4 linked regions of the Diceros bicornis minor genome follow. The protein of the gene in region 1 purifies or fractionates together with the protein of each later gene. This does not show direct contact. Links are inferred from orthologs where the notes say so. Each region holds a gene or a part of one and is shown in the gene's direction. Other genes may lie near its edges.

Region 1 (7,575 bases):
TCAAGAAAGTCTGAGTTGGGGTTCTGTCATATTAACATAAATCATATTTTGGACATATTGAATCTGATGTGAGACTAGGCAGACCAAAGAGAAGTGCCCAGAAAAATAGTCAGGGAGGGCCGGCCCCGTGGCTTAGCGGTTAAGTGCACGCGCTCCGCTGCTGGCGGCCCAGGGTCGGATCCCGGGCGCGCACCGACGCACTGCTTCTCCCGCCATGCTGAGGCCGCGTCCCACATACAGCAACTAGAAGGATGTGCAGCTATGACATACAACTATCTACTGGGGCTTTGGGGGAAAAAATAAATAAATAAAATTATAAAAAAAAAAAAAAGAAAAATAGTCAGGGAGATGGCACTGAGCTAAGGAGAAAGGTCAAACCGCCAGGCCAGCCACAAGGAGGTGATGAAGTATCTGCAAAAATAAATTAGCCCTCCAAAGTGAAAAACTGAGAGTGAAAATTAGATCCTTGGGGAACTCCTCAGGAGTTTGGAAGATGAAAAGGAAGTGGCAAAGCAGACAGAGGAGCAATGGATGGAAAGGTAGAATAGCTGGGACCATGAGGGAATTAAAGAGCTTGAGACAGTTGGGAGTCTATAACTTACTGTCAGAGATCAAAAAAGGATAGGAAAATGGAATTCATTCATTCATTCATTCATTCATTCATATAGATAAGAGTTAAGTGCCTGCAATGTGTCAGCCACTGAGGATACCACAGTGAGCTAAACAGATGTGGTCACTATTCTCATGAACTGACAGCATTGCAGTGTAAACAGTAATTAAGCGATCAAGCATGCACATTATTACACCCCTTAACTGCTATAAGAGCACCTAACCTAGTCTATGGAGCTGAGGAGTGTGTTCTGAGGAAGTGACACAGTCTCAGCTGGGATTTGAAGGATGAAGATAAAGAGAGGGCCTCTTCACGAAAAACAAGCCTGGGGGCAGAGGCGTGACAAGGAGGTTGTATGAAGGAAGATGTCTCATTCTTGTCCTTTACTCAGACTGCAACAGAGTAATGGCCTGCCAAGAGGAAGAAGTGTTCACACATAGGTGCCAGGCTGAGGTGCTTTCTGTCTGGAAAGTCATTGAGCCTGTGAAAACTGACAGCTGTTCTATTCCCTGTCAGTTACTCTTGGTGAAGGAAATCTGTTTTTTCGCTCTGGGCTTGTGGATTTTCCAAACCCTACTGAATGTCTTCCATCCTCTCCTCCCTCCTGCTCCAGGGTCAGCAGTCATTTGATGGCTCATGCAGAGTGGTAAAGAAATAGAAACTGAAACTCAGGTCTCAAGATTCTTCTTGGGCCGGCCCCATGGCTTAGCGGTTAAGTGCACGTGCTCCGCTACTGGCGGCCTGGGTTCGGATCCCGGGCGCACACCAACGCACCGCTTCTCCGGCCATGCTGAGGCCGCATCCCACATACAGCAACTACAAGGATGTGCAGCTATGACATACAACTATCTACTGGGGCTTTGGGGAAAAAAAGGAGGAGGATTGGCAATAGATGTTAGCTCAGAGCCGGTCTTCCTCAGCAAAAAAAGAGGAGGATTAGCATGGATGTTAGCTCAGGGCTGATCTTCCTCACAAAAAATAAAAACAAAAAAATAGATTCTTCTCACCGTTTGAAAAATTTGATAATTTCCATACAAATGCACTTCTAAATAATTTGAGCCCTTCCTAGGTATATAATGACACATTTTCTACCAGGTTGTAAGATTTGAAGAATACTTTACAGATAATTCATACTAAGGAACCACATTATTGACTAGACAACGTATCAGAGAAGATGAGGCTGAGGAGCAGCAAAAGGAGGCAGAACAGAGAAAATAATAATAAAAAGTGCTTTACATACATTATCTTATATATGTCTCACAAATGACTCTTTGAAGTAGGTAGCTTTATCCACATTTTTTTGAAAAACGTTTTTTGTGTGTGTGTGTGAGGAAGATCAGCCCTGAGCTAACATCCATGCCAATCCTCCTCTTTTTTTGCTGAGGAAGACTGGCCCTGGGCTAATATCTGTGCCCATCTTCCTCTACTTTATATGGGATGCCACCACAGCATGGCCTGACAAGCAGTGCATCGGTGCACGCCTGGATGCGAAGCTGGGCCATCAGCAGTGGAGCACGTGCACTTAACCACAATGCCACAGGGCCGGCCCCATGAAAAAACTTAAGATAGGAAATTTGCTCAAGATTCCACAATTAGTATGTGGCAGTACTGGAATGAAATCCAGGCCTGTAGACTCCAGGGTCATGCTCTTTATCACTGCACAATATACTCTGTGAAAAGAGCTAGTTCATTTATGTGCAAGCTATGACATAATAGGCCTCTCAGATAAAGTAATCTACTCCACTACGCTTAAGTGGATAGGCTCTGGAGTCGGATGGCCTCAGGCATTTCCCTGGCCACCAGTGGGACTGTCCCACTCAAACTGAGTTCACTCTAGCCAACACTATGTCTTCTGGGATCCCTGGACATAGTCTTGTTCTAAGTATTAAGAGGAGCTACAAAGGAAGAATAATATATTCATTCAACATATAATTACTGGGCATCTGTTATTTAACAGATCCAGTTCTAGGCACTGGGAATACATCAATGTTCCCATTTAGTGGGAAATGCAGAAAAAAGTACAAATACTTTTCAATTAACTAAACAAAACGAAAACACAGTGGCCAGCCCTGTGGTGTAGTGGTTAAGTTCAGCACACTCCACTTTGGCCGCCTGGGTTCACGGGTTCGGATCCTGGCTGCAGACCTACACCACCGGTCAGCCATGCTGTGGCAGTGACCCACATATAAAGTGGAGGAAGAGTGGCACGGATGTTAGCTCAGGGCTAATCTTCCTCTGCAAAAAAAAAAAAAAAGTTTAAATAAAAGGAAAAAACATACACACAACTAGAATAATTTTCCCAAATGCTGGGCCATTAAAGCGGTCTGATTTTACGGGAGAGAAAGCAGGGCCTCTGACACACACCTTTTCTGTTCGAAGGATGAGTAGTATGCTGCTCCATCTGAACACCAACAGTGTGGTGCCTAAGAAAGAATCATAGCATCACATGATCAACAACCCATGCTATTATTTTACTATTGACAATTTCATAAGTTCCCTCCAGCAGATCTCAGGCTGTTCCAATTTCAGGAGGAAAAAGTGTGAAAGGGTGTACTCTTCTATTTCATGGCCAAATATAAGTAACTCTTCTTGCATTGTTTGTGCTCTCACGGTGCCTTCACTAGTTTGTAACACAGTTCTCTTATTGCTTCCTTTTTTTGTGGAAAAAATAGTAATTTAACCAAACCCAAACCTTACGAGCCTCCTACGAACAGCAATTACTCTGTGTTCTCTTCACGCTTGATTTCTGCACTATCAACCCTTTTTCCTGTCCTGTAAGATAACTTAAAAACTCTGGCTCCCCATCATCTCTAATGGACCAGCAGTTGAGTGGACAAGCAGGGCGGGAGAGCAGATAGGCGTGCAGAAAGAAAATCTCAAAGCACTACAGGGAGCGCTTGAGAAAACGTTTTAGATAGGATAACTCTGGGAAAAAGTAAGCCATTACCCTCCAGTACCGCTCACAGCCTCAGTAGGAAGCATCTGACTAAAAAGGGAAAGGTCCATTCACAGCAACGAGTCCAGAGGCAATACACCACAACTCACAGCGTGCCCAGAAGACGTACTGTTACCGCCCAGCTCAGCCCGATAGGACTACAACTCCCATTTCAACCCACATCACACCAGCCAGGTCTTCCCTCAACTACCGGTGAAGTCCCGCCCCTCTACTCCTCCCCGTTCCTCAGGCTGGAACGAAAGAGTGGAAACTGTCACACCCTCGTTGATCTTCGCGGCCCGAGAACAGCTGAGGCGCAAGGCAGCTTAATGACCTCACCTGCGATGTTAACTGAAGGCCTCAACCCCAGCACCCACCATGTAGTTGACACACATGCGCAGTAGCGTGCCGGCCAACTGCCAGAGCCTTGGCGCTTGCGCCGAGGTTCGCGCCGCACGCGGCCGGGAGCGGCCACCCTACTGCGCAAGCGCTTGTGCCCTCCCACCTCCATCATCGCGCTCTCTCTATCTAGCTTGCCCTACCGTTCTTGCGTGGGAGGCGGGGCTAAGAATGTCAATTGGCCTGTTTTCGTGCCGGTCAATGAGGTGGCTACGGTGATTGGCCGCGACTCTGAAGATAGCGGGTTTAGGTGTAAGCCCCGAGGAGCCAGCGTTTTCTGGGCTTGCCTCTGGGTCTGTCTCCAGAACGTTCTGCCGGTTGCCCCCGCGCTGGGTGCCCGGTTCTGCATCGCGCCGCCATGATGGGCCATCGTCCCGTGCTCGTGCTCAGTGAGTTGTGGGGAAACCGGGGAAGGGACCCCCTTTTCGCCCCCATCTGTCCACACTTTACGGTGTTGCCCCAGCCCCATCCCGCCCTGGTCCGGCCATTGAGCCTTCCAGTCATCATTCATTTTGGAATCCCCGTCTCCCGCCTTCCTCTCTTCCCTTGGCCCATTCCCTTGTCTTCACAAACGCAAACTGACCTCCCCTCTCCGAGCCTTTTGTCTTTGCGGGCACTGGCCTCGGGAAGCCACTTCCCACTCGGCGCTCGGTTCTTCCTCCCCTCCCCCGCCCCTGCACTCTTCCTGGCTTGATTTTCAGTGTGTAGCTGAATGAATGATGATTTTTCAGTCCGGCCTAGCTTTATAACCTTGGCCCGTCCTCTGGTAGCGGTGAGGCCTCGGCCAAATTGCTTGATTTAAGCGTTTCTGTCTTGATAATTGGGGCTAACAGTATTTCCTCGTAGAATTGTTAGGATTAAATGAGATAAGTAGGTAAACTGCTTAAAAGAGGATCTGGCAAACAGCAAGTGATAGCCTTGGTCACTTTTCGGTAACATTCCTCCTGAATTTCTGTTCACCAACCCCTGTTCCTGAAGAAACCCTACTTCCCTCACTGGTCTGTCTTAGATGTGGTTATTCCCTCAGTGTCCCCCGCGTTGTAATCTCTCTCACTAGCCGAGTTTTCCCAAATTTTTCCATTGGTTTTCTTTACCTGTCGGGAACGTCCCAGGTTTCTTTCTGACTAGTGAGTACCACCTCCATTTGTCTTCCCGGATATGTTTCCATTCTGTGTGCAACTTCTGTATCCCATTTGCAAGACTACCTAAGACGCCCGACTCGCCATTTCCCTCCCTTACCATCTTCTGTATACAGAATTCTCTTCGTAGATTTTATTCATTTCCTCTATACCTGGAAGATAACTGTTTTCAGAAAAAATTTCACTTGACCGAAAAAAACACAGTATTTCTGATGAATCCATCAGAAAGGTCAATGCAGGATTTTAGTTACGACTGCCTAAAATAGGAATCTAAAACCTGAGAGTTGTGTTGAGATTTGATAGAACTGGATTGAAAAAATTTACAGATTTAAATTGTAGGGAATGTATAATTTGGAGAGAGGCGGGAAATAAGCATTATGTTGGTTTGGTTATAACCCACTGGCTTGTCTACATTGAGGGCCCTGGAGTGAGTGGTGTGTTGTGAAGCCCTTTTCAGGTCTACATTAATCTCTGGCATTACTGGCTATTAACTGATGAGGCTCCCTATTAAAATACATAGTCAGCTCTTACTGATGGGTTACTGAAGCATTCTTACCATATCCAAGCATGACGTGACTATCTTGCATACTTTTGAGAATGTGTTCTCATTCCCCAGCACATTGTGGGGGCACTATCAATAAGTATACTGAAACTGTCAGAGTATGATTCTCCCTATCCAAGTAGGAAAATGTGAACCCCCAAGCTCTTCCCTTTTTACATAAAGCAGTGATTCATGCTTTTTTAGGGTCACCAGCCCTTTAAGAATCTGATGATAGCTAGAGATTGTCTTCCCAGACAAAAACGCAGTCTCTCTCATTTTCTCATATAATCTCAGGGAGTTCACTATCCCACTGAGGCCCACTCAAGGATTTCAGGTTATGAATCCTTGTTGTAAATACATTAATGTTTGGTTAGAGAGAAAGTAACAAAATTCCAAAATTGAAGCTTTATGGGTTGTTTCTTAGTACACCGGGAATTGAAGTAAATAAAGAAGTAAGTAGCCGTAAGTACATATGTTTACTTTTTAACAGCTTTTTGAGGTATAATTGACATACAGTAAGTCACACATATTTAAAGTGTACAATTTGAGAAGCTGTGATCTGTGTATATACCTGTGTGTTTATTTTCAAAGGTCAGGGAATAAATAGCTGATATACAGTGGAGCAATCCTGGGCTGTTGCCTTTTGTTCTTATCTGTTTTAGGCCAGAACACAAAGCGTGAATCTGGAAGAAAAGTTCAGTCTGGAAACATCAATGCCGCCAAGGTAGCATATCTTTTAAGTTGTTTAAAGTATGATAGTTTGCCTCCAGCTGCCTTTCCTAGTATTTCTGTACTTGTTTGCAATTAGGGAGAGGAAAAGTTGACTTCCCTTCTTTCAGGACATTTTCCTAATGGTGCTAGAGAGAAGGAAGCTCTGCCTCTCTGAGAGATGCCTAACAGTCTTCTCATATTAACTTGTGTATAATTCTATTGCTGTATGTTGTTTTATAGTATTCTGTTTGTGTTTGTCTCCCATACTAGACTGAGTTACTTGAGGGGAAGGACTGTATTAAATTCCCTTTTGTATTCCTAGTCCCCACTGTAGATCCTGGATAGGTGTTCAGTAAATATCTTTTGAATGAAAGAATGAAATAGCCCTAGGTCTGATTTAGCATGGTGTGGAGGCCACTGTCATGGAAAGAAATACTAAGACATGGACTTCCAGTTACCTGGACTGCTGGGAAACTGAAGCTCTGGGAGGCACGCCTCCTTTTTTCTTGTGAGAAGTTTTTTCTTTCTACATCCACCCTGAAAGCATTCCCAAAGGGGAAAAACAACAGAATCTAGCCACGTGGCTTGCTATGTCTAAAGTGGTTGCCAACCCTGCTTTAGAGGTGTAGTTGTTAAAACACTGACTTTGTGGATTACTCGTGCCCCTTCACCTAACACACGCACTCCTTTGATCTGGGCTTACATGTTTTATATATTCTTTCCAATAGACTATTGCAGATATCATCCGAACATGTTTGGGACCCAAGTCCATGATGAAGGTAGGCTTATCTCTCACTGAAACTCTTTGACTACAGATTTTCCCTTTCTGTTATTTGGAACACTTAAATATAACTTTTGCTTTTGTCCTAGATGCTTTTGGACCCAATGGGAGGCATTGTGATGACCAATGATGGCAATGCCATTCTTCGAGAGGTATGACTTTTCATTTTGCTTTCTAATCCTTTTGTAAAGGACCCATAAAGATATATATAGACGATAATTAGTTTCTTTGGGCTGCTGTAATAAATTACCACAAACTGAGTGGCTTTAAACAACAGAAATTTATTCTCTCATAGACTGGAGGCTAGAAGTTCAAAATCAGGGTGTCAGCAGGGCCATATTCCTTCTGAAGGCTCTAGGGAAGAATCCTTTGCCTCTTCTGGCTTCTCATGGTTGACCACAATCCTTGGCATTCCTCAGCTTGTAAACTCAGTCCTTCTCGGTTGTCATGTGGCGTTCT
Region 2 (7,459 bases), on another chromosome or scaffold:
GGTCTCAGCCCCTCTCGGTGGGGGGAGCCGCGCTCTCCATACCCCGCCGGGAGCGCCTCGCCGCCTTCCGATTGGCCCAGCGGATCCCAGAGCCTCCTGCCATTGGTTGCCGGTTCCCCGAGCCCCATTGGCCAGCTCCCATTGTGACGTCACGGACCCATGTGGGAGCGCCGCGGGCGGATTGGCTGGCGCGCGCAGCCAACCACCGCGGAGAAAGGAATTTCCACAGTAGCTGGGGCGGTGAGGCTGATTTAAGGTGGTCTGAGCAACCCGGGGTCCCAGCGCTGCCTCTCGGCTTTTTCCTTTAAAAAAAAAAACAAAACAACCACATCCACATCATAAAAAGCCAGCCAGGAACCACCGGGGCTGAGCCCTTCTGTGCAGTGGGAGGGGAGAGATTGGAAGCTAAGCCCCTTCCCCCATTTGGCAGCGTCTTCCTGGATCTTGCAGATGGGGAAACTGAGCCCCAGGGAGGTGGGGCCTGAAGCCCCCCGATGGCAAAGGAGTTGGCTGGAGAAATGAGAAGGTTGTGCCAGGCGGCCCAGACTGTCACTCTCGCCTGGCCTGGCCAGTCCTTTCCCTGCCTCCTGCTCTGGCCGGATGTGCCATTTTAGCGAGTTATGGAGCCACAGGCCGCCTGGGGGTCCCCCCATCTCTCAGATTGCTCTCAGCGGAGCCTCCCCAAATTCTGCCCCCAAAACTGGGGATGCTGCTGCTCAGAACAAAACATCTCTTCCTTCCTGGCAGGTCACACACACCATCTCTCGCTGTGTGTGTGTGTGTGTGTGTGTGTGGTCTGTGGCCTCTCAGGCAATCCACAAATCTGTATTTACCCTCCCCTGTGGAGTGTGCCTGGCTGGGAGATCGAAAGACTGGTGGGGAAAGGAAAGGCCCCCTCCTCCAGGAAGCCTCCTCTGGACTCCCTCTGCAGAGGCCCCGTTCCCACTGTGGGGACCTCGCGCCCTGGGCGCTCCCTCTGTCCCGGCACTGACTGTGTGGGCCTGGGAGTGTGTGCTCTGCTCTGTCCCCCGCCCCCCACCCCTAGCTCTCCCTGCAAGGCCTGAGGCTGGCTGAGGGCCCAGCATCTTCCAGCAGAAGGAGGTGGCTATAGAATAAATGCTCACTTAACCACCAACATTGGGCTGAGGGAGGCATGGGGCAGGGGGAGATGCCTTTTGGAGGAGACGTTGGGACTTTGGAGGAGATGCGGGGAAGACATGCCTTTTTGCTGGGCCCTGAAGGCGTGGACTTCCTCCAGGCAGAAATGCAGTGGGAGGGAATTCCAGGAAGAGATAACAACGGAAGCAGAGACCCAGAGGTGGGAGAGAACACAGATTAGGTAATCTGGCTGGTGTGGCTGGAGCAGAGCGTTTGAACCGGTGCAGGGAGGCAAAACTGGGCGGGGCCGGCTGGTGCAGGGCCTCTGATGCTAGCCTGAAGATCTGGGAATTTGTCCCAAGGGCAATCGGGAGCCATGGGAGAGTTTTAAGTGAGGGAGGGCCAGGCTCAAAGGGAAGGTGATAAAAGTGAAGGCTGCTCAGAGTGGGGAGGTGGCTTGAAGTCCAGATGGGAGGTGATTAAGGGCTGGTGCGGGCGGGGGCTGTGGGGATGGGGAGGAGGGTTGCATGGCAGCTGAGGGGGAGCGAGGAGGCCCGGCTGGTGCTCTGTCTCTGGGGACCAGGGTGGACTGTGGGGCCTGACAGGTCTGGGGGAAGATGCCACGTCTAGTGGCCTGGGGGGCATCTGGGGGAGATGCTAGAGGTGGCTGCATCCACAGGGCTGGAGCCAGAGTTTGCAGTCACCCTCATGAAGGTGGTGAGTGAGGCCTGGAAAAGGATGTGGTGGCTTGGAGCCCAAGCAGCCAGAAGTGCGGGCTGCCCGAGGCGAGCAGGCTAAAGGGAAAGAGGAAAAGACAGGAATCAGGGCCACCGGCTAGGAGAGCATGCAGAAGGCGGGGTGGGGAGGCTGCTCTGGGTGGGGCTGCGGGATGAGGGTCCAGGCGGGGCCCTTGACTTTGAGGAGGTGGAGGGCTTTTGGCAAGAGAAGGCCCAAGAGGAGATCGGGGTGGGAAGGAGTAGAGGTGAGGAAGGGGGCGCCACGATTTGGACTAGCGGCCCAGGGAGGGGAGATGCTGTCTTCGCAGGGGACGCAAGACACCTCCTGGAAAAGTTCTGGAATTAGGACTTCACGGACGCCCCCAGAACCCGGAATCACGAGCCCTCGGCATTGTGGAATTGTGGTCCTCCCTGTTTCTTAGAATTTCCCAGCAGGAGTGTGGCCAGGGATCTCTGGCTTTGGCTGGATCGGCTGTTTCTGCTCCTCACTGACTGCCTGTGCATTTATCGAGCACCTACTGTGTGCCAAGCTCTGCACGGACCAAGACAGGCTCTGTCCACACAGCCTAGTACTAGGGGGGACAATGCATAGAATAACCCACAAAGAAACATAAACATATCAAAACAAATCACAAACCAAAATAAAACCTCTGATAGGAGCTAAAAAGAGAGAGAAAAGCAGTTGAGAATAACAGTATTTATTTAGAATAATAGCGTGGGGTGGGTGGATGCTGCTTAATGGGTGGCTGGGAGGGGACTTTCTGAGAAGGTGACATTTGAGCTGAGACCTGAATGGTGGGAAACAAGGGAACAGCATTCCAGGTGGAGGGAACAGTCAGTGCAAAGGCCCTGAGGCAGGCCCCTGTCTGTTCTGTTGGAGGAACAGCGAGGAGGCCAATGTGGCTGGAACAGAGGGAGTGAGGGTGAAAGGGAACAGAGTTGGGATCAGAGATGGGAGGGCCAGGAGGGGGTTTGTGCAGGGCCTTGTGGGAAGAGGGAGGAGTTTGGATTTTATTTTGATGGCAATAGGGAGCTATTGAATGCTCCTTCCGACACACTCACACACACACACACACACACACACACACACACACTATCCCCAGGATCTCTCTTCCCCTCCCTTCCGGGCTGCGCATCTTTATCTTTCAGGTCTCATCTCCTACATTAACCTCCTGAGAGAGGCCTCTCCCGGATGCCCCAGATAAGGAGGTTCCCTCCTGCTGATCTCCACCACTGCTCCCTAAATCTTCCTTTAGACACACAGATAATTCCATCACTGCCAAGCTGTGATCTTGCCTTGTCCCTCGAACCCAGAGAAGGCAGGAGTCTGTCCTCCTTCATCCACCCTTGCATTCCTGGTGCCTGGAAGGCAGTCCATGCTCGAGAAGTAGCCCTTGGCTGGAAACGATGCTCTAAGCTTGAGAAGGGCTTGTGTGCACTTTTGTTCACTCACCCACTGACCCGGGTGCAAACATTAGCATGGGGCAAGGGCTTTTCCCTGTCTTGTTGTTCCCCGCTGAGCCCCAGTGCCTAGAGCAGTGGCTGGGCCATGGTAGGCACTCAAGGGGTGTTTGTTGATTGACTTAATGATCGACTCTGAGGTTTCTTGTATGCAAGATGGGAACAAGGACGTGGTACCTCCGGGGTGAGTGTGAGGGATGCTCGCTGGATGTCTGTAGTGGGAGGAGCCTCTGTCTGATGGCAGAGATTCCCTTCCCGTCCTCGCTGGGACCCCATAGTCTGAGAGGGGAGGCAGCCCCGTCTGCAGGTGGCGGCCACCGGAACACCAGCTCCCATCTCTGGGGCTGACCCAGTGCCAGGCCAAGCCGAGGGCTGTTCCAGTCTCATGCCTTTTAGAAAGAGCGCCTGCCTCTGCCACTTGACAGACGAGAATCCTGGGGGGGCCCGGGCCTGGCTCTGCCTCCCAGCTGGGTCCTCCCGGGGCCTTTGCACACGCTCTTCCTACCCCTGGCAGGCGCCTGGCCAGCCCGCTTCCTCCTCCCCCCGCAGTCTTAGCGCACTTGCCCAGCAAGGCCCCCAAAGCGCCCCCTCCCCACCGGGCTGCCTAGGTATTTGTTTATCTGTTTCTTGTTTTTCTTGGGGAGGGCGGGGGCGGGGCGGGCGGGGCTGGACGCCAGCCTCAGTTTCCCCGCCGGTTCCCCGGCCGAGGGGAGGGCGCGGGGGGCGCGCGGGCCGGTGGGCGGGCCGGGCGGCGGCGCCACCTTAAGGCGGCTCTGCCCGCGGCTCCCGGCCGAGCCCCGCCGGAGGGAGGCGGCTCCGCGCGGGGCCCGCCGCCCGCGCCTCCCCAGCCGGCCGGTCCCGACCCTCCGCGCCCGTCGCGCGCCCCCCGCGCGCCCCCCGCGCGCCCCGCCCGGGAGGGGCCCCGGCCACCCTCCGTCCCCGCCGCCCGCGCGCGCTCTCGGGGGCGCCGGGCACTCCGGGGTCCCCTGCCCCGCGCCCCCTCCTCCTCCTCCTCCTCCTCCTCCGGGCAGCCCCCCGCCTCCAGCCTCGCCGCCCACCCCCACATTGTCCATCCAGCTCGGCGGCGCGGGGGGCTTCCCGGATCGCCAGGATGTACCCCCAGGGAAGGCACCCGGTGAGTGGGGGTCCAGGCTGCGGGGCGGGGGCGGGGGTCCGGGGCGTCCCAGAGCTCAGACCCCGGCGACCCCCCCAGACCCCGCTTCAGTCCGGCCAGCCCTTCAAGTTCTCGATCCTGGAGATCTGCGACCGCATCAAGGAGGAATTCCAGTTTCTTCAGGCTCAGTACCACAGGTGAGGGGGGGCCCGCCCCAGGGGACCCCGGAGTCCGCCTGGGAGCCCCCCGGGAGAGGGCGGGGCCCGCAGGGGAGGGGGGCGGGGCCTCCAGGGTGCAGGAGGAGGGGGCCCCCCGGGGACGAGGGGAGGGAGGGCTTCCAGGTGGAGGCGCAGGTGAGCTTGGAGGGGGTCACTTGGCACTGGGACACTTAGAGCCTGCGAAGGGGTGGGAGGGACTGCGACCAGGAGGTGGGGGTGCGTGTGTGAAAAAGTGGGGAGGGGGAGAGCCAAACCGATCAGTTTGGAAACGGGCCCAGAAGGGGCGTCCGTGGGACTCCAGCTGGGGGGCAGGGGCAATGGGGTCCCAGCATCCTGTCTCCTTCCCAGCCTCAAGCTGGAATGTGAGAAGTTAGCCAGTGAGAAGACGGAAATGCAGCGACATTATGTCATGGTGAGGGGGGGTGATGGTGCCGGGTGGGGGGAGTGGGGAGGGCTGGGCTGTGAGTGAAACACTGGGGTGTGACGCCGGCCTCACTGTGCCTCTGCAGGGTAAGTCCCTGCCCCTCTCTGGGCCTCGCTTTTCCTGTCTGTGAAGTGGGCTGGTTGGGATTCCAGGCTGTCTCCCAGGGCCCTCCGGGCTCTTTAGAACAGGGAGGCAAGGATGTCCCCGCTCCACGGGCATCTCGGCGGGGCCAGGGCCACTGGACACCAGTGACCTGCCCCACCTCCCTGGAGAGAGTGGAGGGGGGCCCTGCATCCTCCTCTGGGCTTTCTCTCCGGGGTCCCACGGGGCTGGGAAGCTGCGGGTCCAGCCGGGGGGCTGTTGGAAGAGCCAGCGTCCCCCAGCGCAGGACTGGACGCGTCGGCCCGTGGACACCCGGCTGGCTTTCTCTTGCAGTACTACGAGATGTCCTACGGACTCAACGTTGAGATGCACAAACAGGTAGGTGGGTGGGGGGTGAGGGTGTTCAGGAGGGAGCGTGGGGGTCTGGAGGCTGTGACACGGCCCCAGCGCTCGGGCGGTCTGCGGCAAAGCAAATCCAGGGCACAGGGGTCTTATCCTGAAATCTCTGGGACCAGGGGGCCAGATTCCAGCCTCGTGAAAGGAAAAAGCGTCTGAGCTTCTGGAGACTCTGTCCAGCCGCGAGGCGAGCGGTGGGCAGGGGCCCACCAAGGAGGGCTCGTAGCAGAGGCCGGCAGCCGGGTCCGGGAGGCTGTGGGGATGCCCTCTGTCCCGGGAGGGGGCCGGCTGGACAGTCTGGGGGGCCCCTTTCAGCCCGGAGAGTCTGACCTTTGGATCCTGAGGGTCTGAGATGGACCCCGAGGTCCTGGGACTGTTTTGAAGGTTCTGAGATTGACCCTAAGGCTCTGAGGCTCTGAGACCCTCCTAAGCTTGTGCGTGTGGTGTCAAGGTTCTGAGATAGACCCAGAGGTTCTGAGATAGACCCGAAGCTTCTGAACTTGAGTCTGGTTGTCCCAGATTAATCCTGAGGTCCTGAGACTGACCTCTGAGGGCTTTTAATGGGATGAGAGGGGCCCCGAGATTCAGAATATCAGAATCAATGAGTAGAGCCTAGTGTCCGGGCTTCCTGGTGGGTGGGAAGAGGAGAGGAGTGGGCTGGGAGTGGGGGTACCTGGGGGTGCCCGCCCCGGGCATGCTTTCCGGGTATGTATGGGCTCCACTGGTTCTGGTGTGGGCCGGAGGGGGCTGTTGGCCTGGAGCGTGGCGTGGTCCCCTGGGTGCGTGAAATAGACCTCCTTATGGGGTGGAGGGCGTGGGGTGGGGCCTGGTTCCTCCCTCCTGGTGGGAACACAGACGCCACCCAGATGCACCCAGCACCCCTGTAATTCAGGCTGACTGTGCACAGCTGGATATGCCTCCCCACCCGCGCAGCCTCCCCTCTGCTCAGCTCTGTGGGACACCCCCCACCTGGACCCTGTCCCGGATGAAACCTACAAGTAAAACCACCCATTTCCCCTTTACTCTCTATCCTTCTGATGCCAAACGTGTGGCTTTTCCCCACACCAACCAATTCTCCAACTCCGACCCCAGCGGGGTGTCCCACAGTTCAGCTCGATTCTGACACACGACCCGGAGTTGGCGCAGACCCCACAGGTCCGGGGCTCGGCCGCACAGGACGGCCCCGCTTCGGACGCCGGTCCCAAGTCCGGGCCTCGTGTCCTTCTGACCAACTGGCTATAAATCCTGGTTCCCACGACCCGCTCTTCGGGTTTGATAATTTGCTAGAACAGCTTACAGAACTCAGGAAAGTTCTTGTTTACTATCACCCATTTATTGTAAGGGCTATAACTTAGGAACTGCCGGATGGAGGAGATGCTCAGAGCAGGGTGTGAGGAAGGGGCTCGGAGCTTCCGTGCCCTCCCTGGGCACCACCCTCCCGGCACCTCCCGTGTTCACCCACCCGGAAGCTCTCCAAACCTAGTATTGTAGGATTTTTGAAATGGAGGCTTCACTGCGTTGGCACGATTGATTAAATCATTGGCCATTGGTGGTTACCTCAATCCCCAGCCCCTCTCCCCTCCTGGAGGTGGAAGGCTGGGGCTGAGAGCTCCAGCCCTCTGATGAACTCAGGTGTGGGGGAAAGGGGGGCTTATTACAAATAGCAAAAGACGCTCCCCTTAGCCCATCACTCAGGAACCCCAGGGGTTTCAGGAGCTCTGTGCCAGGAACTGGGGACAGAGACCAAGTACATGTTTCTCATATCACAACATCACAAGCCTTCCGCAGTGTGGCGCCCGGGCATGTCACCTGGCTGCAGGTAGAGACCGCAGACCAGACCCAGAGAGGGACATGGGCCCAGCCAGGGCTCGAGCCCCCAGGACCCCGGCGGAGGCCCCTCGCCTGGTTT
Region 3 (8,272 bases), on another chromosome or scaffold:
TTTCAATATAGAGCTCTTGTCCATCTTTTGTTTAATTTATCTGAGTATGCCATGTTTTTGGATGCTATTGTAAACGTCATTGTTTTTAAAATTCATTTTCCCACTTCAGATTCAATGGTTGCTATTATATAAAAATACAGTTTATGGGGCCGGCTTGGTCGCGCAGCGGTTAAGTGTGCGCACTCCGCTGTGGCAAGCCGGTTTGCAGGTTCGCATCCTGAGCGCGCACTGACGCACCGCTTCTTAAGCCATGCTGTGGCGGTGTCCCATATAAAGTAGAGGAAGATGGGCAAGGATGTTAGCTCAGGGCCAGTCTTCCTCAGCAAAAAGAGGAGGACTGGCATCGGATGTTAGCTCAGGGCTAGTCTTCCTCACAAAAAATAAAAATAAAAATACAATTTATGGATATTGCCTTTGAAACCTGTGACTTTGGCTATAATCACTTATTAGTTCTGATAGTTTTAAAATGGATTTTTGATTTGAATTTTTTGCATACACAATCATACCATCTGTGAATAAAACAGTTTTATTTCTTCCTTTCCAATCATTATGTTTATTTCTTTTTCTTGCTGGCTAAGACCTCCAGTACAATGCTGAAGTGGTAAGAGTAGAATACTTTTCTAGTTCCTGATCTTAGAGGAATTCAGTCTGCCACTATTATGTAAGTTGTTAATGGTAACTTGATTAGGGTTGCCCTTTATCAAACTGAGGAGGTTTCCTTTTCCTAGTTTGCTAGCAGGTGGTTTTTTTTTTTAAATCATGAATAGGTGTTGCATATTGTCAATATTGTCTTGAATTGATCATAGGATTTTTATCCTTTAATCTGTTAATGTGGCAAATTACACTGAGTTTTGAATGTTAAATCAACATTGCAATCCAGGGATAAACTCCATTTGGTCAGGATTTATTTCTCATTTTTATATATACCAGGTTTGATGTGCTAAAATTTGCCAGATTTTTGCATATATATGCTAACATGAATATTGAGCTCAATTTTCTTTCCTTGTAATGTCCTTGTCTGGTTTTGGTATCAGGATTATGCTGGCCTCGTAAAATGAGGGGGCAATGTTACTGCCTCTATATTCTGAAAGAGTTTGTGTAACAGTGATATTATTTCTTCCTCAAATGTTTGAAGAGAAGAGCAAAGAACAAAGGAGACAGATAGAAAATAGCACTAAAATAGCAGATTTAAACTCAAACCTTATAATAATTGCATTAAATGTAAATGGACCAAGCACTCCAATTAAATTCAGTGGGGGAAAGGAAGGCTATTTCAACAAGTGGAGCTAGAACGACTGGATGGAATCCATATAAGAAACAACAGCAACAACACAAAACCTAGACCTCTGGCTCATATCATGAAAAAAAATTTTTTTAATTAATTAATTAATTATGGCTCATAGACCTAAGTATAAAACCTAAAACTATAAAGATTCTAAGAAAATATACGAGAGTATCTTCATGAACTTGGGGTTAGATTTCCTAAACAGGTTACAGCAAACACTTGAAAGAAAAAAGAATTTTCTGCTCCTCTTAAGATACTGTTAAGCAAAAAGGCAAGCAACAGGTCAGGAGAAAAGACGTGTATCTGACAAAAGATATGTGTATCCAGACTATATACTCCTACAACTCAACAATAAAAAAAAAAGCAAATAAACCAATTTAAAATATGGGGAAAAGACTTGAAGAGCCACTTCAAACATGACATAGGAATGGCCAATAAGCACAATGAAAACTGTTGAACATAATTAACAGAGAACAGCAAATTTAAACCACAAAGGCATGTAACATTAGAAAGACCGACAAACCAAAGGTGAGGAAGGTTACAGCTTGCTAGTGGGAGTGTAAAATGGTACAACCACCTTAAAAAACTTGATTTTTTTTTGGTGAGGAAGATTGGCCATGTGCTAACATCTGTGCCCATCTTCCTCTATTTTGTATGTGCGACGCCACCACAACATGGCTTGATGAGCCCTGCATATGTCTGCACCCTGGTTCCGAACCTGGGAACCCAGGGCGGCCAAAGCAGAGTGCGCCAACATAACCACTACGCCACCCGGCAGGCCCCTTGAATTTTTTTATAAAGTTAAAAAAATATATAGATCTACTCTCTGCTCTTTGACCTAGCAATTCCACTCCCAAGTATTTATCTGAGAAACATGAAAACATATGACCACAAAAAGAATTGTACAAAATGTTAATAGCAGCTTTATTCAAAATAACGGGCAACAACTCAAATGGCCATCAAAAGGAGAATGGATAAACAAGCGATGGTTTATTCATCTAATGGAATATACTAAATTTAAAAAAAAGCAAAATACTGATACACCACTAATAACATGCAATAACATGGATGAATTTCACAGACATTATGCTCAAGGAAAAAGCCTGACACAAAGGAGCACATACTGTACGATTTCATTTACAAGTTCTCCAACAGGCAAAAGAAATCAAAATAGAGGTGGGGGTCAAAGACAGACCGGACAGAAGCATGAGAAACTTTTCTGGGGTGATGAAAATGTTCTATATTTTGATAGGCGTTACACGGTGGTTAGCTGCCAAAACTCGTCTAACTGCAGTGGGTATAAATGCTACCTCAATTTAGACAAAAGATAAGCACAGAAGTACCGCGCACAGTGTCTGGTGCGTAGCAGGTGCGTGCTAAGTGGCTGCTGAATGAAACGACCGCGACCCAAGCGATGAAGATGCAGGAGAAAGGGATTCGCGTTGGATTTCGCGGAGGTTCCGCACCCTGCCATAGGAAAGAACTAGCCGGGACCGGAGAGCGATACTCAGGTCTGCGGGGCCCGCCCCTCGCCAAGACCCGCCCCTTCCGCTGTCACGACGTTCAGTCTGCGTCCGAAAGTGGAATGGCTTAGCCCAAAGCCGGAAACAAGAGAAAGTGTTTCTCCGCCACAAACGACCTGTCGTTACACTCCTTCATCATTTAATTCTCAAATGTGCCCTTTAAAAAAAAAATACCCAGGGGTTTCCCTCTGCACCCTTTAAAAAAAAAAAAACCCATCCCACGCAATGGTAGCGTCCGCCGAGGTTGCAGTCGACCAGGGTGGAGCACACCATTCAAACGGGGGAGGGACTGAGGTTTGCATCAAAACAAATATATCTTCCTTTCCCAAAGCGGTAACTAAGTACTCCAGGAAGAAAGAAAAAAGAGGTAGAGGAGGGAGTTAGCAGCCTCCCTCCGCAAGTAATAGGAATCAGTCTAAAAGACATTTTCTGTCTCTCTGCTCCCCTCTCATCGGGTGAATAGTAAGCTGCCCCCAAAAAAGAAACCGGAAATGCTCCTGCAAAGGGCAGAAATGTAAATGTAGAGCCAAACAATAACAGGGCTCTCGGGCCTCTGAGACCGGGATAGTCCTCCCTGGTTTCGCGGGCAAATCTCTCGTTTAGCACTTCCCACTTGCACGACTGACAGGCTTTAACTGGATTTTCTCCATCTAGCGGAGCCGAGGACCGGTTGCAGAGACCATTCCAGGAAGGACAAAGGTCCGGAAGTTACGGGACCTTAGCAGCTTGGGCTTCCCAGATCACCCCGAATAATCATTTCGGAATGAAGCCCGAGGTTCCACCAGCATGCCATGGGCTCTAAAATCTCGAACCATGAATTCCCAAAGTTCCGAGATCCGAAAGTCTGAGACCCTCATGCTCTGTGCGTCTTATTTCAGGATTCCCCACACCCGGCACTGGGATGGAGGGGGGGTGGGGAAGAATCCCGTAGGCCGGCTCAAGTTTCCCCCAAAGTCCCACTCCCCGCCCAGGTGTTCAGCTTTGATTTCAACTGACAATTGAATTCCTAATATCCCCATCATCTACACCCAGGCCTCCCAACATTGCATTCCTATGTTGGTGCCGCCAAACTTCCATCCCCCCAAAATCGCTAAGTCCCCAGTGCCCCACCCCCAACCCCCACGATTCTCCCGAGCTGAAAATACACGGAGCCGAGAGCCCGTGACTCAGAGAGGACTCATCAGGCTCAGTCACGAGCTTACCCGAACCTCACGGGAGCGTGTCACCGTCCTGGAAAGCACGCCCCGAGGCCGGACGCCAGGTGACTCCGGAGCCTGGCGGCTACCTGCACCCAGGATGGTGGCTCTGGACTTTTGAGAAGCTCAAAACTTTTAGCGCCAGTCGGAGCACATGGGAGGGGAAAATCCCAATCCCAGCAAGCCCCGCGAGGCTTCTGGCACAAAGCTGGACAGTCGCCATGACAAGTAAGGGCAAGCAATTCGCCTTCGGGCGGAGGCTATAGGAATGCAGAGTCGGAGAGGAGGGCACGGAGAAAGTTAGGATTCTCGCGGTGTTGGTGCTGTAGCTATTGACATTTTGGGGTGGGGAAGTTCGGCAAGCCAGAGCCGTGAGGGCAGAATTGGTGGAAACCGTTTTGGAAGACTCCTGCCACTGTGTCAGATATGAAGGTGGAAGGAAGAAAGCCTCTGCACTTGCTGTTCCTTCTGCCTGGAACACTCCTTTCCCAGATAGCTGGATAGTTTCTTCTCATCAGCTAATATCTTACCTTTTTGGAAGGCCTTCCTTAATATCCCAATCTAACGTATTCCTCCAGATACTATATATCACGCTATCTTGTTTAATTTCCTTCACAGCTTTTATCACTTTCTGAAAAGATTTGTTCCTTGCCTTCAATACACAGCAACATAAGCCTTAGGAGGGCAGGGACTTTGTCTACTATTTTATTCATTGTTGTATTTCCCAGTACTCAGTTCATACTGGGTAGCAAGTAAGAGCTCAATAATAAATATTTATTGAATGAATGAAAAGACAGAGGTCTGAGGAATTTGGCGAATGAGATGCCAAAGAGGTTCAGAAACCTGTAAAATCAAATACAACGCCGGCGCCCTCTGCAGGTTGGGGAGTAAGAAGTAGGTGTTTTTAGCATGACCGCGGGAAGAAGACAGGGGGAGCTCAGACGCTTCTCTCGGAGGCAGAAGCTTTCAGACTACAACTCCCAGCAGCCTCTAAGAGCCCCGGGGCTTGATGGGAACGGTAAACCGGGACCTGTTGCGTCCCTGCCCCGCCCCTCCCGTGGGTCGCCCGCGAAATCTGATCCGGGATGCGGAGGTCCAATCGAGAGGTGGGCCCAAATCCCGCGAGAGCAAGTGGCGCGTAGCGACCGACGGGGCTGAGGGATGCCGTGCTTTTAACGTTGGTGTCCACTTCTTCGCCTTGCCTTCCGGGGGTCTTCTGCCCCCTCCCGGAAGAAGAAGGAAGGCACAGGTGGGTTTTTCTCCAGGATCCGTGCGAACTTTGGAGCTGTCTCGGCTGCTCCGCGGGCCAGGCAGCTGGTAGCCAGCGGGAGGAGGGTTGCCTGGCCGAGGCCAATGTCTGCCGCGCTTCCTCTGCAGAATGAAGACGCCGGAGGCGCCACTCTTAGGTCCGGACTGCCTTCTTTCAGACCAGGCCCCAGCTCCAGCCCATCTCTCTCCTAAGCCTTCCGCGGTGGATAAAAATACGGACCCTGAACGGATGCTACCGCCACCCGATGGGGATGATCCCCCCCAGGTGTCCCCAGATCCCGCGGCTGGCTCAGCTGTGTCCCAGGAGCTGAGGGAGGGGGACCGAGCTTCCCTCTTCACTCCCCTGGAAATAGGGTTTGGTACTCCTAGTGAGTTGAGCCCTCGAATCGAGGAGCAAGAACTTTCTGAAAATGTGAACCTTCCTGCAGAAGAAACTAACAGGCCAGAGTCGGGGCCTGGAGAAGCCGTGGAAGGTGTGTCTGAGGACCCAGCTCCAGAGGAGGAGGGATACACGTAAGTGGTGGTGGCAGTTGCCTCAGGAATCTGAGGAGATTGAAGTGTGAGATGTGTGGACGTATGAGATATACCTTATCCGCCAGTCCTCAGCCCCACTTCTCCAGACCCATTTCCTTTTTCCTTTGGCGACCCAGGTTTGTTGTCCCCCCATCTTCCTTCCAGCGCTTGGAACTACAGCTTCTCCCAGCTACCTCGGTTTCTCAGTGGTTCCTGGTCAGAGTTCAGCACCCAATCTGAGAACTTCTTGAAAGGGTGTAAGTGGTAAGTAAGGATAATGGGGCAGAGAGATAACCATGCCCAGGATTTTCACCTTAGAACACTCCAGTTAGTTGGGAGAAGTATCCACCAGAGGTGGGAGAAGGAGTAAGTATCCCTCTTGGACTGAGCTTAAATTTCATCTAGGATTGTGTGTCTTCTACTTCCTCCAAGGTTTTGGGGGCCTTACCTACCCCAGAGGTAGGCTCAGCCCTAGCCCTACACTTGGAAAATATAGATCTGTCCAGCTTTCTTACTCTTCCCTACTCCTAGGGCCCCTGATGGTTCCTGCATCTTGACCAATAGTGCTGATAACATCCTGCGGATTTATAACCTGCCCCCAGAGCTGTACAATGAGGGGGAGCAGCTGGAATATGCAGAAATGGTAAGGGTAGGGGCTAACTCTGCTCCTTCATCAGACACTGCACATTTAAGTCCTTCCTGTAGATGGAGAAAGTACAGTCCACATGTTTTCTGTTCACAAACAGGACATTTCTTCACCATGAATTTTCACAGGTAGTGTTTTCAACCCTGAATTCTGAAGTCATTTAAACAGATGTTTGTCCTTTCTTTAGTCAGGAATATGTGTTTCCCATAAAAGAATAGTGGATTTCTCATGGCAGTGTTTAATTGGCTTACAGATATTTATTGATTGAATACCAGTGTGTCAATCACTGTGTTTGGTGCTGGGATAAAGTGGTGAAGGAGACAGATGAAGAGCTGATTTGCTTTCTTGTGTGTGAGTTAGACAACAAACATGTAAACCAATAGATAATCAAGTTCATGACAGATTATAATAAATGCTATGAAGGAAATAGAATGAAGAGAGACTAACTAGAGGATACCACTTTATATAAAATGGTCAGGGAGAGGCTCTCTGAAAAGGAGACATTTGAGCTGAGACCTGAAGGATGATGAGATCAGTCAAGTGAAGAACTGTGGAAGGAGCATTCCAGGAAGAGGCAATGATATTACAGACCCAGAGCTGAGAAAGAGCTTTGTGTATTCAGTGAACAGAAAGAATGCCAGTGAAGGGGAAGCGTGGTGAGGATGGAGAGGTGGCTAGCAGCCATGTCGTTTTGGGTCTTGTGGGTAGGGCATTTGGAGTTTATTTGGGAAGCCATGGGAGAGTTTTAAAACAGGAGAGTGAAATGATGGCTGAAGTTTAGAGAATGGATTGTGGGTGGGCAAGAGTGAAATCAGGGAGACTCATTAGGATGCGTTTATCACAGTCCAGGCGAGAAATGATGGTAGGGTGGTGTCGGGCGAGATGGAGAGAAGTGGATGGATTTGAAGTATGTTATGTAGGACTTGGAGGTCAATTGGATGTGGGGGTGCAGGGAAGGAAGCAATCAAGAGTGATGTCCCGGCTTTTGCAGCTAGGTGGATTATGGTACAGTTTACTCGAAGGAGGAAACAGGGATATGAAGAGGTATTGGGTTGGGAGTCAAGAGTTTTTAGGTACATTAAATGTGAAATGTAAATCTAAGAGGAGAAATTGGGGCTGGGGATATACTTTTATTTATTTATTTTTTCCCCAAAGCCCCAGTAGATAGTTGTATGTCATAGCTGCACATCCTTCTAGTTGCTGTATGTGGGACGCAGCCTCAGCATGGCCAGACAAGCGGTATGTCGGTGCGCGCCCGGGATCCGAACCCGGGCCACCAGCAGTGGAGCGCGCGCACTTAACCGCTAAGCCACGGGGCCGGCCCTGGGGATATACTTTGAGAAGTGGGAGAGCGTGTAGATGGTATCTTATGCTTTGAGAACGGATTCAATGTCAAGTATAGATGGAGAAGGAGAAGGCTCAAGCAGAGCCCTGAGCGCCCCAGCATGTGGAGGTGGGGTGCAGGAGAAATTACGAAAGTGGAGACAGAGTCATGTCCAACGCTGTTGAGAGTGAGGCAAATTTAGAGAATGACCTAAGAAGACATTAGTGACTTGTCAAGAGCACTTTCAGAGAAGTGATGGAGGCAGAAGCCGATTAGAGTAGGTGGAAGAGGAAGGAGAGACAATTCTTTGGAAAAGTTTTCCTGTGAAAAGGAGCTGAGAAATGGAATGGTGACCAGGGGGAATGTGGGGCCAAAGAAGGGTTAATGGGGTGTTTCTGTGGTGTGAGGAATAACCTAGTAGGGAGGGAGAGGTTGATGCTGTAGGAGAGAGAAGGTGTACCAAGTCCCTGAGTGGCTGGGTGAAGACGGGATCCAGAGCACATTAGAAGACTGACT
Region 4 (7,437 bases), on another chromosome or scaffold:
ACAGGTGAGCAGGTGAGGGGATCCCCAGGGGCTTGCCAGGAGGCAGCTGCAGGCCTTCCCCCACCCCCAGCTTGGGTCTCAGTGTGGCATCAGGCCCAGGGCCGCTGTGGCCTGAGAGCAGCCATGGCTTCTGCAGTCCACCTTTATGGTCTGAGGGACCATAAAGGGCAGCCTGGGCAGGTGGTGGCGAAGCCCAGATTGTGACTGCAGACCCCACAGCCAGGGCAAGGGCAGCAGGACACGGCTCCTGCCAGTTCCCATCCTTGAAGTCAGAGTGGCTTGGGGGGCTCCCCACACTGCATGGCTCCCTCTTTCTTGCTTCCCTCAGACCCCAAGCTCTGGTGACTTGGACAAATGTGGGCCGAAGCACAGGAATTCCTCCTCCATGTTACCTCACCTGATCACGGCAGCGGACAAAACTACAACACTCTTCTCGGAACAGGAGCAGCCTGCGGGGCTCCTACCACCCCTGGCCTCTCCTCTGCGTCCCCTGGAGGTACAGGGACTTGTCTGTGGTCCCCGCTTCCCCTCCTTCCCTGAACATCTCAGCTCTATTCCCAAGCAGCTGGAGTTCCAGAGACATGGCTCAGATCCTGGATTTGCAGGGAGTTAGAGCCACTGAACCCCAAGATAAAAGACACCATGAGGGGACTGAAGGTGGATGAGGTGAAAGTTAAGGATTTGGGGAAGGCAGATAGCCTCCAAAATGGGCCTCTGACAACCATTCTCCTAGAGTAGCTATAAAGTGCTAACCCAGATGACCCAAGACAGTGGGGGTGGAGAGGCTCAGCACTCTTCCCAGCCTCCTTCAGGGCGCTGTTTAGACAGTGGGCCTGGTGGAGGGTGGGTGAGCTTCGGGCATGGAGGTAGCTTACAGAACAGAGAGGTCAATGAGGAAAAGAGAAAAAGTTTCCGATCTTTTGTATGAGAGCCTTGCTCTGGGCTGGGTGTGATCACCTCCTGGCTCAGAACTATCCACCACCTCACAGCCCAGCACCCATGATTGGTCAGACCTCCTGCCTAGAGCCTGTGACCCAGCTGGAGATGAAAGTGTCCTCTGTAGCGAACACATCAGGGCACAGAGCTCCAGCCCTCGGCCGCTCTGCCCCTGACGGTTCTGTAAGGACCTTTGGGACCCTAGCAGGCAGTGGAGTGCCTCACAGCTAATAAAGTCTGCACATTTCATGTTGAGTTGGGTGTGTAACTTACCTGAGGGTCATCAGGTTCTTGACTGTGCAATGACCCCAACATCTGTTGTCTTGTCCAAGCCCCTCTCAAGGGAGCTGTGTGCTGGGGACCTGAAGGTGGCTCCATCAGGCCCAGGAGCCCCTGGATCATGGGGCTCTTAGCCAGGCTGGGGTGAAGGGAAGCAGAGAGGTGCTGGCTTGGTGGCCATCAGGAATCATGACAACAGCAAACACTTCCATAACACTAACTGAGTGCTGGGTACCATGCTGACTGCACTGCAGATATTAGTTCACCTAATCTGCACAACAACCCTGTGGGGTTGATATTATTATCCCCATTTTAGAGATGTGGGATCAGAAGCAGAGAAAGACTAAGAAAGTTACCTAACCATATGAGGGGGACTTCTGCGGTGCTGTACTGTTCTGTTCCCTGATCTAGGTGCTGGTTACATGAGTATGTTTCAGGTTGTGAAAATACGTGCACTTCTATGTGTAAACTACACTTCAATTTAAAAAAAAAAACAGGGGCTGGCTTGGTGACGAAGCGGTTAAGTTCATGCTCTCCGTTTCGGTGGCCCCGGGGTTTGCTGGTTTGGATCCTGGGTGCAGACCTACACACCACTCATCAAGCCATGCTGTGGTGGTGTCCCTACATACAAAAAAATAGAGGAAGATTGGCATAGATGTTAGCTCAGGGACAATCTTCCTCAAGCAAAAAGAGGCAGATTGGCAACAGATGTTAGCTCAGGGCCAATCTTCCTCACCAAAAAAAAAAAAAAAGAATCTTGCCCAAAATTATAGGAAAAAGAGGATGTAATTTCAACCCAGATGGTCCAGCTTGAGAACATGTACAGTTAACTACTCCATTGAAATGGGCTATCGTCCAAAAAGTACCTGGTCACTGGTCTTCAGTCCTTTTTGTTCCAGTACTCCCTAAAAAATTTTGAAAATGTATTTCTCCCTTCATACATTTTTAAGTTGACGTCTGAAGTATTTCATTGATAAGTTTAAAGAGTTGCAAAGGATGTAATTTCCAGTGTGTTGTAAATATTGACACTTTATAAATGATACCATTTATATTGATCCATTTCGATCCAAATAGCATAGTGATTTGAGAGCCAACATCATTCATTTTAAAAACATCAGAACAAGCTCTTCTTTAACATTATTCCTTTTTTTCTTCTCATAATTCCATTCTATTCCTCCCACAGTTTATGCTACATGTAATTTATTTCCATGCTTTAAAGTCTATTATTGATAAACTTATCATATCTCTTTGCAACACAAATATATATATATGTTGAAATTTTAAAATCAATTTTTTGTAAACTTTCTAAGGCTTTACGGGTTACACTTAGTACAGAGTTGTTCAAAACAACATAAATATGTATTCAAATTCTTATAAAAACAAATTTTATTGGAAATGCATTTCTTAAAAAAGGGTATTTTCCTCTCAATTAGTTCATGTGTGTGGATGAATATCATTTTTTTATTAGAATAATAATATTCAAGGTTCAACATTTTTTTGTTGTTGTTAGGAAAATCAGCCCTGAGCTAACATCCATGCTAATCCTCCTCTTTTTGCTGAGGAAGACCGGCTCTGAGCTAACATCCATTGCCAATCCTCCTCCTTTTTTTCCCCCAAAGCCCCAGTAGATGGTTGTATGTCATAGCTGCACATCCTTCTAGTTGCTATATGTGGGATGCGGCCTCAGCATGGCCGGAGAAGCGGTGCGGTGCTGCGCGCCGGAACCCGGCTGCCGGTAGCGGTTAACCACTAAGCCACCGGGCACGCCCCTCAACATTTTTGTACCTATTTATTTTTTTCTTTTTTAAAAACTTACGCACAGAGAAAACTTGTTCACATAAGTAAGTAGATGGGAATCTAAGGGATTTGTTATATATGGCAGTGTCACTCAATTTGAATTCTTTCTGAGTTGTCTGTTAACAATCACATTTATCATTGAAAACTATATTTAATGATATCATCTAACAATTCAATACAATCCTTTAATTTTACTGAAAGCAAAGAATTGGAAACCATTTAAATTATGGAGACATTACCTAGATGGGACCCTCCTCCATTTCAAACTCACTGGCACAGGTATACTTAGGGCTTGATTCAAGCATTTGCCTTAGGACCCTCAGCGGTGAAGGAACGGGAGGGCAACCACAAAAACTTAGAGCCAAGCTGCTCGGGTCGCTGCCTACTGAATTCCAACCCTGCAACTCTGCGTGTTTCTACAATGGCCAGGAAAGCACGGGACGGTGGCCAGGAAAGCACAGGACGGCCCGACTGAAGCTGGCCTGGCCCTGAGTACACCGGCGGGCCTGCCCTTGGGGCACTGGGAGAACAACTCTCCGGCTTAAACAGGGCGTTGGCACGAGTGGGGAATTAAGGTGGTTCGCGTGTAGCGCGGGCCAGGCTGCCAGGCCGCGGGGCTCAGTGACGCGAAATGCAGCAGGCCCTCAGGAAAGGCAGAATTTTAATTTTTACTCGACAGAGTGGCATAGCCACTCGGAATAGCACCTGCACAGGGGGAGTGAGAGCACGTTACACAAGAGCTCTCGCTCTCGGAGACTTGGCCTAGAACTTGAAGGCCTGCCGCTCCGCACGCTAGCCTCCTATGCCTCCCACGCCCTCACCCCATTCACGCGCACTGCGCTGTTATCTCTCTGACTGACATCTTTGTCAGCCAATGACCTTCGGGACTGCGAAAGCGCCGGGGCCCCCCCCTCCCTTGGAATTGGGCAGGGCAAGTAATTGAAATGACAGACATTTACGCCAATAGTGAAGAGGTTTCAGAAGTTACGGTGCAATAGCCAATGAGAAGAAGGAACTGTTCGAACGGACGTGTCAGGCAGCCAACGGCCGGCGCCGCTGCGTGGGCCGCGTGGCTTCCGTTCCGAGAGGGCGGGGCGGCGTCTCAAACGGAAGGTGGTGGTTGTCCGAGCCGAAGCGGGTTTTAAACTGAGGGTCGGGCCCGGCCGTCGTTGTTTGTTGTCGCTGCCCCGCTTCCGGGCTAGGCCGTCTCTGCCCGCCCCCGCCCCGCCTCCCTTCGGACCCTCTCCGTCTCCGGCCCGGCTCTCTGCCCGACCCGTGCCCCGCCCGCCGCAGCCCGCTGTAGTCCCGGCCCGCCCTGCGGCCCCGCCGCCGCCACCATGTCCCTGCACGGCAAACGGAAGGAGATCTACAAGTATGAAGCGCCCTGGACCGTCTACGCCATGAATTGGAGCGTGCGGCCCGACAAGCGCTTTCGCCTGGCGCTGGGCAGCTTCGTGGAGGAGTACAACAACAAGGTGGGCCGGGCAGGGGCTCGGAACCCGGCTGGCGGGGAGCGGGCCCCGGGAGCGCCCTCTCCGGGCTGGACCCCAAACCCCAGGACCCTTCTGCGAACTTGCCTTAGCTTCACGGAGCGGTTCCTCTGAGTTTGGCCCTGTGCAGAGGGTTTCGCAGTCGTTGTCTCGTTTAATCCTGGCAGCGTTCCTGTGTAGTCAGGAGTGTGGTTACCCCCATTTTACTGATGGGGAAACTGAGGCACAGTGTTGTGACTTGCCCGACTCAGACAGCTGTTTCGTGGTGGAAACAGGTCTCAAACCCGAGTTTCCACCCAAATCTGTGCCCTTTATCATTCCTGTCCTCCTCCTCTCCTGCCGCATTGCTTCAGTTGTGGGGCGAAGGAGGTAAGAGAGAGGGATGGATATGAAGGAAAAGGCTGGCTCCTCAGTTGGTAGTCATTCACTCCTGGCTACACCAGATTTCTCTTAGGACTCTTCACTGCGCGGGCTTCCCCGCCCCCTACTCCCACTCTCTGGTACTATTCATGCCCCTAGCCCTTCTGCCAGGATTGCCATTGCTGTTGCTGCCTGATATCCGTCGTTTTCAAAGCGATCTCTTTCTGAAAATCTTGGCCCATGGCCGTGATCCCGCCGTTGTTTTCTGAGTAGAGAAGGATGACACTTGCCGTGTCTTTTCTTGCCTTCTTGCATGCTAATACAGCTGTGTAACCCGAGTAGTTAAGTTTCTGGACATCCAGAATTTGAGAACCCTTCCTAGAAGCACGGGTAGTAGGAGGTAGCTTTGAAGCTGGCAGTGCAGCATAAATTTATTTTTGAAAGTTGTTGAATAAGTCAATGGGGAGAATTTTCTTTACCCCTTTATCTCTTCCTTTTATTGTATTAGAGTAAACATTGTGATTGATAGTGATCAGAGCAACTGAAAGCCTTGGCTAATGGTGTTTAAAGCCTGTGCTCCTGCTTAACACCATGAACAGCATGATTTAAGAGAATAAAACTGTATGGACAGTGACAGGCATGGTGCAGGGGGAAAAAGCCAAATGGTCTAGGGTTGAGTCCTGTCTGGTCCATTGACTAGCTATGGGGCATTGCACAGGTCAGTCTTGTTTCTGACTCACAGTTTATTGTAGGAAAGGGGTTCTTTTTTATACATGAAGGTCATGTAAAAACTATTTGAACATAGTAAGTTTGGTTACAGTTTTTCAGGAGCACAGCTGTTTCTCTAGAGTTAGGTCTTAAATTTCTTTGGAATTCCCTTTGAGAAACTGATGAAAGTGATGGGCTCTCATTGCCCAGACATTACACGTACACAATTTACAAACAAATCCCAGGGAGTATGCACTGATCTTGTAGTCTACCCATTGTCCACAGAAAGCAGAGAGTCCTGAGTAAGACATAGCTTTATTTTTTTTTCTCTGATGCTTCTTTCTTCCTTATGGCCCATAGTAGACAGCAGAGCTGGGAATGGAATTCAAGGTCCTAGTGTGGAAACTGTGTTAGTCAAGTTGAGACCGCTAGAACTATTGTTTAAGGATACATGTTAAAAAAAAAAAAAAAAAAAGCAAAATATGTCTTTCAAGGGGCTTGAGTTTTTTTCACCCAAATTGATGTGTGTTTTTTTTTTTTTTTTCCTTGCAAGTTCTTCCAGCATCTATTTGGGTAAGCAGTAGTAGTCCCATTTCTAAGAAAGGAGAAACAGAGCCACAGTTAGGCTGCTGGTGGAATCAGTGGAGTAATTGACATCAAACCTCAGTTACAGTAACTCTGCCCCAAAGTTTGTCCTTTCATTTAGCAACTGTATAGAGCTCTTTCTTTGTGCCAGGCACAAAGGCAGTGTGGTCTTAGTAGTGAAATGCAAACTAATAATCCTAGTAGTAAGGGAACAAGCAGTTAACTATGTTAACTCACTCCAGTGATGTAGGCAATGCAGTGTCTTAAAACTGTTTTTGTGCCCCCACCTATCTAGGTCAGGGTTCTTAACTTTTGTGTGTGTGTGTGTGCACCATGGACAGCTTTGGCAATCTGAAGCCAATAGATCTCTTTTCATAATTATGTTTCCAAATGCATAAAATACATAGGATTACAAAGGAAACCAATTATTTTGAACTACAGTTATCAAAAACATTTTTTAAAAAGTGGTGATATATTGGGGCCGGCCCTGTGGTATATTGGGGCCGGCCCTGTGGCTTAGCGGTTAAGTGCGCGCGCTCCGTTGCTGGCCGCCCGGGTTCGGATCCCGGGAGTGCACCGACGCACCGCTTCTCCGGCCATGCTGAGGCCGAGTCCCACATACAGCAACTAGAAGGATGTGCAGCTGTGACATACAACTATCTACTGGGGCTTTGGGGGGAAAATAAATAAATAAAAGTTAAAAAAAAAAAAAGTGGTGATATAGTAATATGTACTTTTAAATTAACTCATTAGATTACACCATCCAGTGTAATTATTACTGTAATTTTGAAGTAGTAATGAGGGTAAATGCCATTTTAAGATGTTTAATTACTGTACTGTGATATGAAAAAAAAATCAGTGATTTCTACTGGTGACGGAGTCACAGATATTGATGCTGCTGTGAGTAGCTGCCTCTGTTTGTAATGGAAGGAAATGCTAAATTTCAGTTAGAGATTAGTGAAAATATGAATGATTCTCCAATTCAGGTTCACGGACCTCAAGTTAAGAAACCTGGCTGCAGAGGATCTGTGCCTAAGGGATGGTGGGCAGTAAATCCCACTTTAATGCAGTGATTCTCAGGTTCAGTTTTGGAGAAACCTTGCTTTGGAGGCGCCAGACTTCATAATTTAGAGGAATTGACGAATTACCGGTTGGAATTTTCAGACCATTGGTTCCTGCTTGCCGTCGATAGTGATGGCCAGCAGAGGACAGTGGACACACGGCAAATTAACATTGATGAAAAAGCCCAAGAATGGTCATCTTTTTTTTTACTGTAGAGACA

The links. The genes of interacting proteins can lie anywhere in the genome.
Region 2: the proteins of CCT3 (region 1) and TLE2 purify together in Homo sapiens (affinity purification with mass spectrometry; 3 studies listed by BioGRID and IntAct, with this or other methods). This does not show direct contact. The link is inferred for Diceros bicornis minor from reciprocal best matches to the Homo sapiens genes CCT3 and TLE2.
Region 3: the proteins of CCT3 (region 1) and WRAP53 purify together in Homo sapiens (co-immunoprecipitation; 3 studies listed by BioGRID and IntAct, with this or other methods). This does not show direct contact. The link is inferred for Diceros bicornis minor from reciprocal best matches to the Homo sapiens genes CCT3 and WRAP53.
Region 4: the proteins of CCT3 (region 1) and DCAF7 purify together in Homo sapiens (affinity purification with mass spectrometry; 4 studies listed by BioGRID and IntAct, counting the BioPlex papers as one, with this or other methods). This does not show direct contact. The link is inferred for Diceros bicornis minor from reciprocal best matches to the Homo sapiens genes CCT3 and DCAF7.

Annotation. Positions count from the first base shown.
Region 1 is NC_080743.1:59,910,224-59,917,798, reverse strand, and holds the start of CCT3 (T-complex protein 1 subunit gamma), read left to right. Parts: upstream 1-4,222; 5' UTR 4,223-4,302; coding exon 4,303-4,333; intron 4,334-6,286; coding exon 6,287-6,348; intron 6,349-7,063; coding exon 7,064-7,114; intron 7,115-7,205; coding exon 7,206-7,268; intron 7,269-7,575. Other genes in the region: TSACC (TSSK6-activating co-chaperone protein), read right to left, coding at 2,975-3,033, 3,939-3,940. UniProt on the Homo sapiens protein: Component of the chaperonin-containing T-complex (TRiC), a molecular chaperone complex that assists the folding of actin, tubulin and other proteins upon ATP hydrolysis.
Region 2 is NW_026691553.1:2,365,821-2,373,279, reverse strand, and holds the start of TLE2 (transducin-like enhancer protein 2), read left to right. Parts: upstream 1-4,185; 5' UTR 4,186-4,407; coding exon 4,408-4,431; intron 4,432-4,509; coding exon 4,510-4,607; intron 4,608-4,976; coding exon 4,977-5,040; intron 5,041-5,487; coding exon 5,488-5,532; intron 5,533-7,459.
Region 3 is NC_080757.1:10,678,651-10,686,922, reverse strand, and holds the start of WRAP53 (telomerase Cajal body protein 1), read left to right. Parts: upstream 1-4,998; 5' UTR 4,999-5,013; coding exon 5,014-5,253; exon of another isoform or gene 5,254-5,382; coding exon of another isoform or gene 5,383-5,466; coding exon 5,467-5,786; intron 5,787-5,951; coding exon 5,952-6,050; intron 6,051-6,317; coding exon 6,318-6,429; intron 6,430-8,272. UniProt on the Homo sapiens protein: RNA chaperone that plays a key role in telomere maintenance and RNA localization to Cajal bodies. Specifically recognizes and binds the Cajal body box (CAB box) present in both small Cajal body RNAs (scaRNAs) and telomerase RNA template component (TERC).
Region 4 is NC_080757.1:46,427,022-46,434,458, forward strand, and holds the start of DCAF7 (DDB1- and CUL4-associated factor 7), read left to right. Parts: upstream 1-4,163; 5' UTR 4,164-4,349; coding exon 4,350-4,487; intron 4,488-7,437. Other genes in the region: KCNH6 (potassium voltage-gated channel subfamily H member 6), read left to right, coding at 1-4, 329-613. UniProt on the Homo sapiens protein: Involved in craniofacial development. Acts upstream of the EDN1 pathway and is required for formation of the upper jaw equivalent, the palatoquadrate. The activity required for EDN1 pathway function differs between the first and second arches.